Linked DNA regions of Oreochromis niloticus. The protein of the gene in region 2 interacts with the protein of the main gene of each other region in a pairwise test. Links are inferred from orthologs where the notes say so. Each region holds a gene or a part of one and is shown on either strand. Other genes may lie near its edges.

Region 1 (7,245 bases), on a different chromosome or scaffold from region 2:
TGCACACCTGATATAGGGTGTTGATGTCATTAGACCACACCCCTTCTCATTACAGAGATGCACATCACCTAATATGCTTAATTGGTAGTAGGCTTTCGAGCCTATACAGCTTGGAGTAAGACAACATGCATGAAGAGGATGATGTGGACAAAATACTCATTTGCCTAATAATTCTGCACTCCCTGTAAACACCAAGCTCCTTTTTTTGTGTAGCTGACAGCTGGTAACTGTGCAGGGGCGGATCTAGCAAAGCTTTTGCCAGGGGGCCAGGTAGGGCATTAACAGAGAAAGGTGGACATAAAGATATACTTTTCTTTCTTACTCTCATATAAAATATTTAGCTTTTATTAAATACTTATCTGAATCTTACAACCAAAGTTTGTATAATAATACACAAGATTGGCTGTAGACCATTGTTCATCATTCAGAACACTGTGTAAAAATAACAAAAAACAAAAAGTGAATGCGAAAGTGCATAAATATTTATTTTATGTGTTTGATGTGTGTGTCGGGGCGTGGTCTGCAGTGCCGCTGCAGGGGAGGTGGACCCACGGGTGTAAAGTCTGTGCTCTCTTGGCTGTTCTTTGGGTGTGTGTTGGGCTATGAGTTGAAAAGCTACAGCTGCCTGTGTGGGTACACCAACCATGTGTGAAAAGTGGTCCATAACGTAATGCTTCAAAGCATGTTCATGCAAACATTGTCGGGTCTGCCGTGGTACAATGAGACTTCTGCTCATGAACCTGTGTGCACAGCGTCTGCAAATCGGCGCTGTATGAAGTAACTTCATCTTTACACAAAACTGTAAGCTGTCATCTGTGAAGCGTGAGCGGTGTTTGTTTTTACCATAGTTCATGGTGGAGAATGGCTGCTCTTCTGAGTTTTGCTCTCTGTAGCCGTATGAATGGCAAACTACAGTGATTAGCAGCGGCATAGGCACACATAAAATTTCTTCTGAAATTTTCGCTTTCTAGTTTATATTATATTCTCTGTATAGCACTTTAGAGCACACTTTTCACTTTATTAAAAGCACCTTATCAAGCACTTTATTTAGTATTGCACTTTAGGCATGGATTTGCACAGTAAAACATTTGCACACAAGAAGTTTAAATATTTATTGATTATTTATTGGGCATTTTAAAATCAGTTGGTAGCCTTGTTTCAGATCCTGCACAGCTGCTCCTCATCAAGGAATGTGGTGGTTGTCTGTCAGGAGAGAAGAATGGTGATTGAGATTATGATTAAGGTTTACCAGTAAGGAAAACTAATGCAAATGTGTGTGTGAAATCTAGGAAGGAAAGTGGCGCAAATAAGTGTTTGTAAGACAATGATTACTCACCTTTCTTGTCTGTGTCCTCTTCAGGGTGTTTGGGCAAATGTTTCCCCGGGGGTCCAGACACCATTTAATGGTTCCGGGAGAGACCATTGGTAAAGAGAGTATGGTGAATCTTTTTGTGCTTGGGTTTCTGGGTTTTTATAGTATTGGGTTTGGTGTAAAATTAAAGTGTGAAATATTTATTAATATGAAAATGTGAACTGTATTTATGTATTTATTTATTCTAATTCATATATTGTATACTGTGGTGGAAGGTTGGGATTTAAGAATTTACCTAAGAGTGGAATAATGGTTTGGTCTGTGACAGCTGAACATATTTAAGGCTGCTGGTCCTCATTAGAGGAGGATATATTGTGCTGTGAAGAAGCTCGAAGTGAATTGTTGTAAGGAGAGCTGTATGGCAAATAAATACTTTGTTCCACTGCACTTGCCTTAGTCCATCTCACTGTGTTTCCAGCCGCTAAGGGCTGCCCTATTACAGTCAGCCAAATTAAAAATTGTAAGTTACCATAAATTGTTTTTTAATTTAGAACTTTGTAGACCTTTGTTAATGTCAATGGAAAAACATTTAGTGTTGCTCACTCAGAAAAGTCCAGTTCTTAGTACTCAGTGAACACTCTGTCCTAACTTAGTCACCTTAAGTACGTTTTTGGTTTTTCGAGGCAACAATGAGATAATTCGGTGTGGAGGATGGAATCCAGCCGAGACTGCTGTGAACCCCCCCACCAAACCACACACACCCCCCACTGTGACGGTACCTTTTCCCTCCTACTTGAGTAAAGAAGTTGAATCAGTACTTTAACTTTTACTGTAGTATTTTCAGCACTAGTCCATGTACTTCTACTGCAGTAGAAGAAGTACAGAACATCTGTACTTTTGCCTCCTGTGATGCAGGCAGGTGGGAAACGTCGGCCAATTTAGCAGTTGTAGTTCTTTTAATAAAGCTGCTTCAGTGTGACCTCACAAACAAATAAACTTTATTTAAACATCCAGATTATCTCGTGTCTTTCCTGATATCGCTCCATATTGTGACAGATGCCAAACTGCTGAAGCCTCACTGATCCACATGTAGTGGTCTTGTCCCAGTCTCCTTCAGTTCTGGACAGAGGTTTTTCATACCCTGTCCAGGATTCTCAGAGTGACGCTGGCCCCCGACCCTCATCTTGCTCTGTTTGGCATCAGTGGGAATGAGGTGCCTCTAAAAGACAGGAGCTATCATTCACCCCCTCCCACTCACACACACAGTGGTTGTATGACCTCATGTCGTGTCATGCGGGGTCGTTTCCTTGATGCATTTCCAAATCTATAAGAATTTTTCAGGTGCATGAGTGTGTGCACCTCCCTCATGTCAGGTGTGGAAATACAGTGTACAGTGACCTGGGTGGGAATGAATGGGATTATTTTGCAGGGACTTTGTTATCTGGGGAAGCACTTTGTTTTTACACATTTATATGTGTGTGTGTATTTTTTTTCTTTATTTTTCTTTTTCCTTTTCTCCCTAAATTTTACGGCCTTAAGTGTACGGACTAATGAGCCCAAATGTACAAACCATCCTTCTCTTCTCCTTTTGTTTATATGTATAAAGAAAAAACTCTTAATAAAAAACATTGTTTAAAAGAAATTCATTTAAACAACAGAGTAACAAAGTTTCTAAAGGGGTGAAAATCATCGGAGTATTTGGTGATTTTATACAACAGCAGCGTCAGTCCTCAGCTCCTTCCTGTCACCTGGCCGCACAGGTGACCGCTTTCATATTAGATTACCAGATTAACTGTCAGTTTACACTTTTGTGGTTTGTTTATGTTTGATTACATCATCACCTGCAGGCTGCCCAGTGTAGCGGCTGACGTGATGACATCACACCTGTCAGTGTGTCTCAGGGTCCAGTTTAAATCCTTCAAAAACAGAAGAGCGATACAGAAACATTTACATTTGCTCAGGTTTTATGAAACATATCGTTAGTTTCATCTCTGACAGCATCTTATCAGAATTTGTACGTTTTTACCAAAACGTGTTATTTGGTTTTACTGACTTTAGTGAGAAAGACTCTCATGCTTTTCCCTCATTAATCAAATTCCACATCCATAAATGTAAGCTCTCCACTCTCAGGACAGAAACAGAACAGTTTGTTCCTCTCACAACAAGAAAGCTTTAAAAACATGAATATTTGTAATATTTTAATGTCTTAAGTTAATTATTCAGCGTCTCTGTATCTCTCACTTTCCCCGTTTAATCTGTATTTCTATCCTGTGTGTTTAATTATACATACTCTTCCACTGTGTTAGAATTTTGCACTACAGTTGTACAACATGCTCTCCGTGTGTTGTGCTTGTTGTTAAAGTCTCTGTTGAAATAAAGTTAGAGAAAAAAAGGGTCCAGTTTAATGGAATAGAATGCCTTTATTGTCACTATACAGTTGTACAATGATACAGATACAGAGCATCTCCAACTCAGTGAACATGTGTGTATGTATGTGTGTGTGTGTGTGTGTGTGTGGGGGGGGGGCACAGTTCTGCAGCACTATATTCATATGAACAGTATTAACAGAAAAAAAGGAAACAAATGTACAAATATACAATCCGGTGTAAATAAACAGTGTGTTTTGTATATATAGTTCGGGTTATTGTGCATAGGATGTTATTCCTTGTTTTCAAAAGTCTCTCTGTCCCGGGTTGATCGAACACTGAGACACTTTCTTATTCACGTATTGATCAGTTTCTCATCATTCGATCAGGTTTACGTTTTATTCTGTGTCGTATAATCGGCCTCCGAGTACGCTGATAAAGAACCCGGAAGTTTGTTATTTTTTCCTGGTGTGACGTCAAATCCTCGTCGCCCGCTGCGGACGTCATCGGCGTAGCGACACGTGCTTCTTTCTCTCGTTAGCAGTTAGCTTAGCAGCGCGGCGAAGCGCGGACTGGTGAATCCGGACATCTGCGACTTTCAGACGGATTAAAAGCTCCGAGGAACATGGCTGCCACCGGGGCTCAGGGTAGGAAGAGGATCCTGAAGGAGGAAGATATGACCAAGGTGGAGTTCGAGACCAGCGAGGAGGTGGACGTCACCCCTACCTTCGACACCATGGGTCTCCGGGAGGACCTTCTCCGCGGGATCTACGCCTACGGTAAACCGGGGTTCGGCGCGGCCTCCGGGGGAAAGCTAGCTCAGCTAGTCATCTGTAAAGCTAACGTCGGCGCAGTGTGTTGAGTAGGCGAATTAAAGAGATTTCACTGTGCTCAGTTCGACCCCGGGGGCATCGTATCCGGAGGGGTGCCGTTAGACTGACTATCCGGCTTTTAGTTCTTTCCAGAAGCTCTCCGATTAGCATCAGCCCGACCTGCTAACGTGTCTGCGCACTTTCAGTGGCGGAGAAGCAGATGTTCTGATAGACCTGACTTTAGATCGGGTTAGACCGGACTCTGTGACTGCTGACCCGGTGTGTGACCCGACTTGGTCCAGTGGCTCAGTGTAATGTAGTAACTGACTGTAACTGTATTTAATTTAGTTTATGTGCTGCTGGTTTCCTCGTTGTTGTCTTTTATAGCAGATCGCTTGGATCCCCGGCTGTGTAGGTACTAAAAACAAACCCTGGTACCAGGTATCACCGCCTAACGTAGCCTTTTTCTATTAGTGCCTTCTAAGGTTTCCATTAGATGGTAGTACCAGGTACTTTTTTCAGTACCTACACGGGAAGTTGTGTCGGAAACAAAAACTTTATTGAACATGTGTACAAACAAAGAAGCATTCATCTGTTGATCATGTTCAATTAAATTTTTTATTTTTATTTTTTATTTTTGTAGTCCAGAGTCAATTAAAATATTTAAGTAATAGAAATGATTTATGGGCTAATTCGAACAACCTTCAGAGACTTATCAAACAGCTCGAGATCAGCTCTGATTTCTCTGAGAGCTGTCAATAAAATTTTTTCCATTAAATTGTTAATAAAAATTCCAGTTTAGCACTGACTGAGTTGATTCCCCGGCCGGCAGGCATCACAAATCTCTGCCCATCACAGAAAACATCCACTTTAAATCTCAGTGTAATAAAATCATTAGTTGGGTAAAACTCATATAAAATGTTAAAACTGAGCTCTTTTTTTTTTAGGAAGGACTGGATATGAAATATATATTTTTCTGATATTTTGGTGATTTGATCCAGCTAAGTCTTTAAGGATGTATCTTTTAAACTCATTAGAAAAACTTTCAGTAAAATAATTATAATACCTTTTAGATTTTTCTGTCACTTAATTCAGTATTTTCAAAGTGCTGGTGGTGTGGTAGAGCCGGGATCTTCTCTAACTGTAGATGTTAGAGGGACTGCCATTGCTGTTATCAGCTGATTATAAACTCAGTGAAACAACAGCATCACCAGGATCTTTCATGAAGCGGTGTTTTTACTGGTGTGAAATTGTGTTTATTGTGTTTATGAACCCAGTAGAGAAGAACCTGTCTCTTTCTCTTATATTTAATATAACCACACTACGGATGGACAAGCGCCTGTTTTTATACGTCGTCATTAGCAACAGCGACGGTAAAACTATCGCGTGTCCACTTGTGTATTTTCCACATAAACCTTTCACAATAAAGCTCAAGATCCTGTTGAGACTTTTCAAAATAAACTGAATCACGTGAAAGAGGATGCGGCGTGTTTGTGGATGAGAAGCAAAAAAGAGCCATCAGTTGCTAAAAAATAAACCTTAGACTCAAGCATTAGAACAGACTTTTCCCCGCAGCACGCCGTGTAATAAATACTCACAAAGAAAACGGCGGCCGTTACAACTTATGTCTAAAAATATATAGTTTCATGCATCGGTTAAAACACTCGACTCCAGGTACACGACGCCCAGCTGGAAACACTTCACGCAAGTCGAGCTGCCCGAGATTCACAGAATTTACAGAAAATGTTAAATTTTTGTGATTTATATCGTTATCGGAACGATAATGTCTTATATCGGAATATGAGATTTTGGTCATATCGCACAGCCCTAGACTGGTTTTCTTCCTACTTATCAGACAGGACCTTTTCTGTTAGGACTGACAGGTTCACCTCTGACATTGCTGCCCTGACCTGTGGGGTCCCACAGGGTTCAGTTTTAGGTCCATTACTATTTTCTTTTTATATGCTTCCTTTAGCTGGTATCATTCAATCTTTTAGCGACCTGTCTTATCATTTTTATGCTGATGACATCCAGCTCCATATGTCCTTTAAGCCTCATCAGCTGGATAGGCTGTCCACCCTAGTCCAGTGCTTAACCCAGGTTTCTGAGTGGCTTTCAAGCAACTACCTCGTTCTAAACACTAACAAGACCGAGACCATGATCATAGCTCCTCCTGAGCTACATTCTAAAATCAGTCAGGTTCTTGCCTCCTTCTGTCCATCTGTCAAGTCAAATATTCGGAATCTTGGAGTAATATTTGACTCTTCTCTGGGCCTCGACTCTCATGTAAAATCTTTGTCTCGTTCCTGTTTCTATCATTTAAGAAACATATCTAAACTGCGACATATGGTCTCTTCAGCTGAACTGGAAAAACTCATTCATGCATTTGTGTCATCATGCTTAGATTACTGTAATTCCCTGTTTACTAGCTTGGATAAATCATCATCACCTCCAGGCGATACAAAACGCAGCAGCCAGACTATTAACTCGTTCTACCAAACGTGTTCACATCACTCCCATCTTATATTCTCTACATTGGCTCCCAATAGAGTTTAGAATTTGCTTTAAAATTCTTGTTTTAACATATAGCGCACTAAATGGCCAGGCCCCAGATTATTTATCCAAGCTTCTTATAAAATACACTGCTGCTCGTCATCTCCGCTCACAGACTCAGAGTCTCTTAGTTGTTCCCCGTACACGACTGAAGACAAAAGGGGACAGAGCCTTTCAGTCTGTTGCACCAAGGCTGTGGAAC
Region 2 (7,388 bases):
AAAGATTCAGTCCATAAATTCTTTTGGTATTTATTATTTGCCAAAGAATTCAGTGGCGATTAAGCAACACCCAGAAAGATCTATATTCAAACACTCAAACTCATCATTAACTCTATAGCCAACTATGAGGAAAGATGACACAGGCTCAATCCTAATCTGTACCCACAAACAAATCGCCTTGTAGCTGACTGAGTTAAAGACCACGTAAGGGCTCAAAGCTCTTTGCTGTGACACTAACCCTGTTGTCTGATATCCTCATAGTGAATCGGTCCAACAGGCCTTTTCATTGCCTCCTCTTCCTCCCTCTCCCACTCCTGCCTCTGCAGCTCTCGTCGCATGTCTTCTGAGAGTAATGTCTTGTCTGATGAAGCTTTTCTACAGGGACCAGGCATATCCAAAACAGTTAGTTTCAAATATTTCATTAACATCTTTGAAGAAAAAAAAAAGATCACACAAATCTTTAAAAAAAAAATTACAATAAATAAATAATTACCCTTTCCCTTGAAGGTCTTGGTCCATTTTCTTAAAGCCTGGCAGGTCTTTCTTCATGCACCGCCGAGATCGTCCCAAAGCATCCACAAAGTCCACCCTGCAGAGAAGAAAAATAGTTGTTTTTTGTTTTTGTTTTTTAAATATTGTGACAAATAACACATGCCCATGTGTTTATCTGTAATGTCAAAAAGCAGTGATAGAGTCTGATCACTCCTTCTATATTTGCAGGGCAATTTTTGCTCGCAGAGCATAGTGGCTGATACAACCTTTGTGGCTTCTCAATCATCCAGTTCATGGTAGACTAGAAAACTTTTTTTTAAAAAATGCAACTGAACTAAGTTTGTGAAGACGTCTCAGCTCTTATACAAGAGGCTTCTTCTGTTCTAAAAACAAAAGATGGCAAGCCCCAGGTATCTAACCCCTAATGGTGGTTTTCCCCTTTGGACGTGGTCTGGTTGCTTTTTTTCCAAGCTTTCTAGACATCTAGAAAACCATGGGATCACTGTTTGTTAACTTTCCAGGATTGTATTTTTGAAAGTAGTTTACAAACACTTGTGACGCATGTGCTGCAGATGGGGCTGTGGGAATGGTAAACAATGCAGCAGAAGCCACTCTCATCTAAATCATTGAATTCAGGTGTTCCAATCACTTATATGGCCACAGGTGTATAAAATCAAGCACCTCTGCAAGCAAACGCTTGTCACTCTCAGGAGCTCCTTACCACCTGTGCAACAGGTTCAATTGTGAAATTTACTCGCTACTAAATATTCAACACTCAGCTGTTACACAGTGGAAGTGATTGGGAACAGCAGCAACTTGGCCATGAAAGGGTAGACCATGTAAATTCACAGAGCAGGGTCAGTGGATGTTGAGGCGTACATTGTGCAGAGGTCGCCAACTTTCTGCAGAGTCAATCACTACAGACCTCCAAACTTCATGTGGCATTCAGATTAGCTCAAGAACAGTGTGTAGCAAGCGTCTGATGCAGTGGTGTGAAGCACGCTGCCACTGGATTCTAGAGCAGTGGTTTCGGCTTCTTAGTTCCAGTGAAAGGAACTCTTAATGCTTCTGCATACGAGACATTTTTGACAACTTCATTCTTTCGACATTGTGGAAACAGTTTGGGGATCGGCCCTTCCTATTCCAACATGACTGAGCACCACTGCACAAAGCAAGGTCCATAAAGACTTGGATGAGCAAGTTTGGAGTGGAAGAATTTGACTGCCCTGCACAGAGCCCTGACTATGAGCCAAGCCTTCTCATTAAACATTACTGTCTGACCTCACAAATGTGCTTCTGAAAGAATGGTCAAAAATTCCCATAAACTCACTCCTAAACCTGTGGAAAGCTAAAAGAAATGACGCTAAGCATGGGCCAGTATTATCTTAAACCCTATGGATTAAGAAAGGAATGTCACTCAAGACAGACCAGTGAATATTTTTGGCAATATAATGTATTAGCAAATACTGGAAAACATATAAGCCTAATATTGATATATTTATATGGTGCCAGCAGAAGTTGAATATTGATGAATGCAATCAATGTGAAGTTACCATTCTTCATCCGGATTCTCAGGAGGAGGGACGGGTGACGAGCTGAGTCGTTCCTCATCCTCTTTCTCCTTCTGGGCAAGTGTTTCTCTCTTTTTGTCAATAATCTTCTGGGTGAAGTCAACAAGGAACAGCCCTTCTGTCTCTTCATCTGATGAGTTACACAACAAGGTAAATACAAAGTAAGCACACTTTGACGCTGTTGTAGCAGACATAAGGCACAAACCGTTCACCAACCTGGAAAGTCTCCTTTAGTCATCTGTTCGTAGAGTCTCGCCTTCTCCTCCAACTTACGCCTGTTGTGAGAGTAAAAAAAAGACGTGAGACGTTTTGGTCTCCCTCCTGTTATACAGAAGAACTTCAACAGTACTGAACTGACCTTGCTGTATCGATGGTGCTCCGCTCCTCCTCCAGCTGCTCTGCATCTTTAGCAGCTCTTGCTGAAACACCAGCATTCTGTTTGCTCCAGATGTTTGGCTTCTGCAGAGGAACATGTGGAGAAGAAAATTAGAAACGTGAGTCTGTCATTGCACACCAGGATAAAAAAAAAGTTCTGAAATCACTCGTGCTGTACCTTATCTTTTGATTTTTCTTTGACTCCTGCTCCAGAAGTTTCTTGTCCAAGTTTCTCCCGTTTGAACTGCTCCTGTTTCCTGTACAGCTCCGCTTTAAGGTCCACTAGCTGCACGAAACAAAACCGAAATTTAAGATTTAGCTGTTCATTCTCTAAAGAAAAAACCTCTTACAAACATTATATATTTCTTCTAAATACAGTCCATGCTCGTTGTATGTGCTGCTAGCAACCCTGACAGTAAGTTAGCTATGTTTATCCGTATAATTAAGCTCAAACATCTGCAGCTGCTGTCAAATAAATATTTGAAGAGCTGCTTGTAACATTCAACTCACCGATGAAGCAGTCACGTCTAAAGGTTTCTTTTTTTTATCCATTTTTTCCCTCCACCTTAATCTCCAGTTTGTTGCTGTTAGCAGTCCGACTTCTTCGTTGGTGTTTCTGTTGCTACCAAACTGTCGCTTTACAGCCAACTAGTGGCGTCTCTCCGACACTGCACGCATTTCCGCTTCAAACGTTCAGTCTTACTTTCACCTTTTTTGTTGAAAAGTAACTATAAATTGAGCTGACTATTGTCTAGTCTAGATAAAGGAAAACAGATTTTATGAGGAAGAAAAAAAGTCGTGCAGTGGGAGTCTAGTTTTCTTTTTCTTTTTCTTTTTTTTTGCTCTATTGGTGATCATGTGCATTTGTGTGCGAGATAGTTATGAAAACTGCTTTAATTGTAACATGGCTATTGGCACAAGGTTTAGAACAATTTCAATATCTATATGAGGACAAAAGTGTCTGCACCTTTGTGGGGTAGAAGCTTTTTTGGATAAACTTACCATTTCCTGAAAATTAAACACTGAACACATTACAAAAGTGTTCTTTCGCAGTGATATTGAGAGTTTTCATCAAAAGATTGGTACAGTGCGTTCCTAAAGGCATGGACATGGTCAGCAACAATACTCAGGTAAGCTGTGGAAATTAAAGAATGATCACTTGGTATTGAGGGGGAAAAGCGTACACCAAAAATATCCCCTACAGACTGATCTGCTTTTATGAGACAGGATGGACACATCCATTCATACGGTTTGTTTATTTCCTGACCATCGTAATGTCACAGCCTCATTTCTTCTGCTGTATAGAAGCTGATAAGATAATTGTTCTGAGTAATTGGACACGCGTACCTAACAAAGTATTGAGTAACCATATGGTAGGCGTGATGCCTAAATAGGAAAAATATTAAATACAGATTACTTTCCTAAATCAAAGAAATGTAATTACACTTCTTGGAGTGTAGTAGCTCATTCAGCTGTCTGACTTATGCGAGTTTTTCCATTTCATATAAATTGTCCTTCATACTGTGTCTTATGCATGATGCTTGAGGCTTCATGTATTGCGTCACTCAGTAGGCTGTTGATTTAAAAACTAAAAACCGTTTTTGAACCATCACAGTTACACTGAAGGCACAATTACACAACACAAACATGTGAATGTCAATGAAAATCCTTGTAAATGGAATGCCACATGGCTGTGTCAATATCCGCTCCAGTTACTTTGGTTTATTTGTTTATTTCAGAGATATTAAAGAAGCATTCATTTCAGCTGAGCACTGATGTAATGATAACACTATGCTGATATAAATTTAGTGCCCTGTCTAATCAAACATTAGATTATTGCTAGCTTTACTACAGCTCTTGCCTGAGAGAGTGCTGCTGTAGAAGTCTGTGACTGCAATACTATTCTGTCCATAGCCCACTGATAAGATGTCCATCAGACCTCGTATCAGATCACAACACAGAAATGCCTACTTTGCTATCAGATTAAACATTTGAGGAGTCTTATGTTACCAAGATATGATCAAACAACATCCTGTTACTGTTGTGTTCAGTGTTTTTTTTAAACCAGTATGAAGGAGGATGAAAGGTATATAATGGTATGAAGACGGACGGAAAACAAAGAAAGTTAGATCCATATCAGAATCAGATGAAAAGCATCAGAGCTGGTTTTGAATAGACAGCATCATCATACTGTGTGCAGCAGATCCAGCAGTGGAGACGTTTTTCTTCAACCATGCTTCTGAAAAGAAACACCTGCCTGTTGGCTTTTCTCTTGTGTTCCTTGACCTTGTGGTGCAAGTCAACCAGTGCGGGCTCCAGCTTCCTCAGCCCATCACAGAAACCTCAGGTGAGATACTTTCTGTCCTGATTTATCAAATATTTTTTTTAAAACAACATTTTTATAAAATCTTTATGAAAACTTCACTCAGTTTTGGTTTCTTTTTGACACTTGTAATACACTATAAATATTTCATGCTTCATTTTTTTTGTTTTCAGCCTTTGAGTTTAAACTTATTATCACCCATCATAACCACCAAAGCTTTAAAATGGACTAAAAATTAAAACCCTACCAGCTATTTGGACTGTGAACTCACCAACCAAACAGTGACATTATTCTACATTGTACCTCACCCATGCCATTTGAATTAGGGAGGTTTTCTTATGTTAATTAAACCTCTTAAGTGGAAATTATTTCATAACAATGATGAGATGTCATTTTTAAATCACAGAACAAAGTGAAGTCCTCCAGAATTGGTCGCCAAGCCATGGAGGAGCCAAATCAAGCCAATGAGGACAAAACCATCACAGTGAGTTGGGAAAAATACAAAACAGATACAGCCCATCTCCCAGCAGTCAATCCTGCAGCTTTGTGTTTTTTTCTCTTCTGACCAGCTAAGTGCGCCCTTTGAAATTGGCGTCACTTTAAGAGCAGAAGACTTGGCGGACTACATTGTAGAGCTGCAGGAGATCGTGCAACGCCTGCTGGGAAACACAGAAACAGCAGGTTGTCCCTTCTTTCTGGTTTATACATTTAAAAAAGTGTTTCCTTTAAATATTACAAAACATATATATACATATATATATATATATATATTCTTTTTCCCCAGAGAGACCATCTCCTCGTTGAAGATCAGAGACTGTGTCAGTGTTTTCCATTATTAGCTTTAGTTATCTAAGTTATTAGACTGTGGTTAAATAACATGAAATACAAGATAAATGAATGATGCCTAAAACATTAAAATGCTTACTATGTGACCCTGTGTGTAAAATGGAACACATCAATCAGCCAAATAGCATTTCCTGGAGATTTCAGCCTCTTCAGATTATGTTCATCATCAAGGGGTTGGTTCAGCTGTCATTATGAATTTCACAGGGTGCAGCTGCAGGAAAAATGTCTCCCAAACACCCAAACGTTTAACTCACACTCTGACATTTTGCATTCATTATTAAAATTCCTGTGTCAGCAGAGAAATACGATCTAATGTTAGTCTGTCTCTTTAGGATTCGAGTATGCCTTATACAATAAAGCATCAATCAACCTTTTGTCTCACTGTATTATATTTAATGAGTCTTTAAATCAGAAGGTCTGTGATGCAACAGCTCATCCGGTTCATGACTCACAGGTTACCTGATGGGTGAATAACAATAAGTTTTCTTGGTGGTAATTAGCTGCACTGCAAAAACTAACAATTAATGAGCTAAAAATATTAAATAGATACAGATGCTTAGGATGCAAACACTTGAGTAAAGATTTAACTGGTACCTTTAAAGCTACAATCAAAAGTCTAAATGTCTTAAAAACACAAAAAGGAAGGAGGATGTTGAAGAACATCTTGTCCAAACCTCAGTGACAGAGTTTGCTCTGACCTTTTTAAAGCCTCTATAATAAGAACTGTGCTTAAAAAAAACTGGCAGGATGAACACATATCTGTTCACTCTCGATATTGTTTCTTTATTTCACACACTAACCTTTACGCAGATAATGGTTTTCAAGATTTAAAAACAGAAAAAAAAAAGAAAAGAGCACTCAGACAAATGTGTGTGACGAGCAGGGCGTCATTAAAGTGGAGTAATGGACCGCTCCCGCAGCCCCTCTCCTTTCCTCAATGCAGAATCGGCTTTGTTCAGTGTACACATTTGCTCCACTGTAAAAGACGATGCTTTCCTGTGCGCTAATTTAACAAAACATGTCTCAGAGAAAAAAGAAGCACTATTATAAAGACTTTTAATGCATCTCTACTGCATCACACCAAGGCAGCCAAACGTCCAGACAAACCAAACAAGCGAGCAATGTAAAACTACAGAAACACAGAAAAAAAACAACACAAAAACTGCTTACAAATTAATCTGTAATAACAATGGCATAAAAAATATTCAGATAAACAATTATACACTTGGATCTCTGTTAGACAAGAGATATTTTAATTCCAGTCAGGCTCGTCTCCTTTTTCTCTTTCAGGTTGTTTAAAATGAGATTTCTTCTCCACATGTCAACATCCATATATGGAGAACTGACAAATATAAAACAAAAACAGGAAACGTCTCTCTTCTTTCTTGCCAGTTTGCAGTGTTTTCTCTGAAGGTCATATACCATACAGCTGCGTGGTGTTGTTTCGGATGGTGTCAAGGACAGTGGCCATGTTTTCCCCCTTCAGTAGGCTCAGCTCCCGCAGAGTATGGATGCCCATTCCAGGATGGGAAAACTGGCAGACACCTTTCCCAACCTGTTAAAGAGTATGACATTCAAAAAGGTCAACATGGAGTCTCTTAATAAATAATACCTCGAATATAACAACTGGGTATTTGCTTTAAATACTGATAATAGTTTTAGACTCAATAGAAATAGAAATATGTGCCCAGTTTCACTCCACTCTTGGAGGGAAAAGTTTAGTTTCAGATCAACAAGAGGTCAAGCAGTCAAGGAACACAAGAGAAAAGCCAACAGGCAGG

Evidence for each region. The genes of interacting proteins can lie anywhere in the genome.
Region 1: the proteins of ccdc174 (region 2) and eif4a3 interact in binary tests that used the Homo sapiens proteins (3 or more experiments, as listed by UniProt). The two-hybrid records come from large-scale screens. The link is inferred for Oreochromis niloticus from reciprocal best matches to the Homo sapiens genes CCDC174 and EIF4A3.

The regions. Positions count from the first base shown.
Region 1 is NC_031971.2:41,937,438-41,944,682, forward strand, and holds the start of eif4a3 (eukaryotic initiation factor 4A-III), read left to right. Parts: upstream 1-4,169; 5' UTR 4,170-4,303; coding exon 4,304-4,457; intron 4,458-7,245. UniProt on the Homo sapiens protein: ATP-dependent RNA helicase. Involved in pre-mRNA splicing as component of the spliceosome. Core component of the splicing-dependent multiprotein exon junction complex (EJC) deposited at splice junctions on mRNAs.
Region 2 is NC_031970.2:23,072,905-23,080,292, forward strand, and holds the start of ccdc174 (coiled-coil domain-containing protein 174), read right to left. Parts: upstream 3,102-7,388; 5' UTR 2,991-3,101; coding exon 2,949-2,990; intron 2,725-2,948; coding exon 2,617-2,724; intron 2,558-2,616; exon of another isoform or gene 2,523-2,557; coding exon 2,422-2,522; exon of another isoform or gene 2,396-2,421; intron 2,339-2,395; coding exon 2,280-2,338; intron 2,214-2,279; exon of another isoform or gene 2,194-2,213; coding exon 2,046-2,193; intron 590-2,045; coding exon 494-589; intron 376-493; coding exon 239-375; intron 1-238. Other genes in the region: ghrl (appetite-regulating hormone), read left to right, coding at 3,542-3,568, 4,639-4,785, 5,168-5,245, 5,331-5,442, 5,546-5,565; putative deoxyribonuclease TATDN2, read right to left, coding at 7,022-7,162. UniProt on the Homo sapiens protein: Probably involved in neuronal development.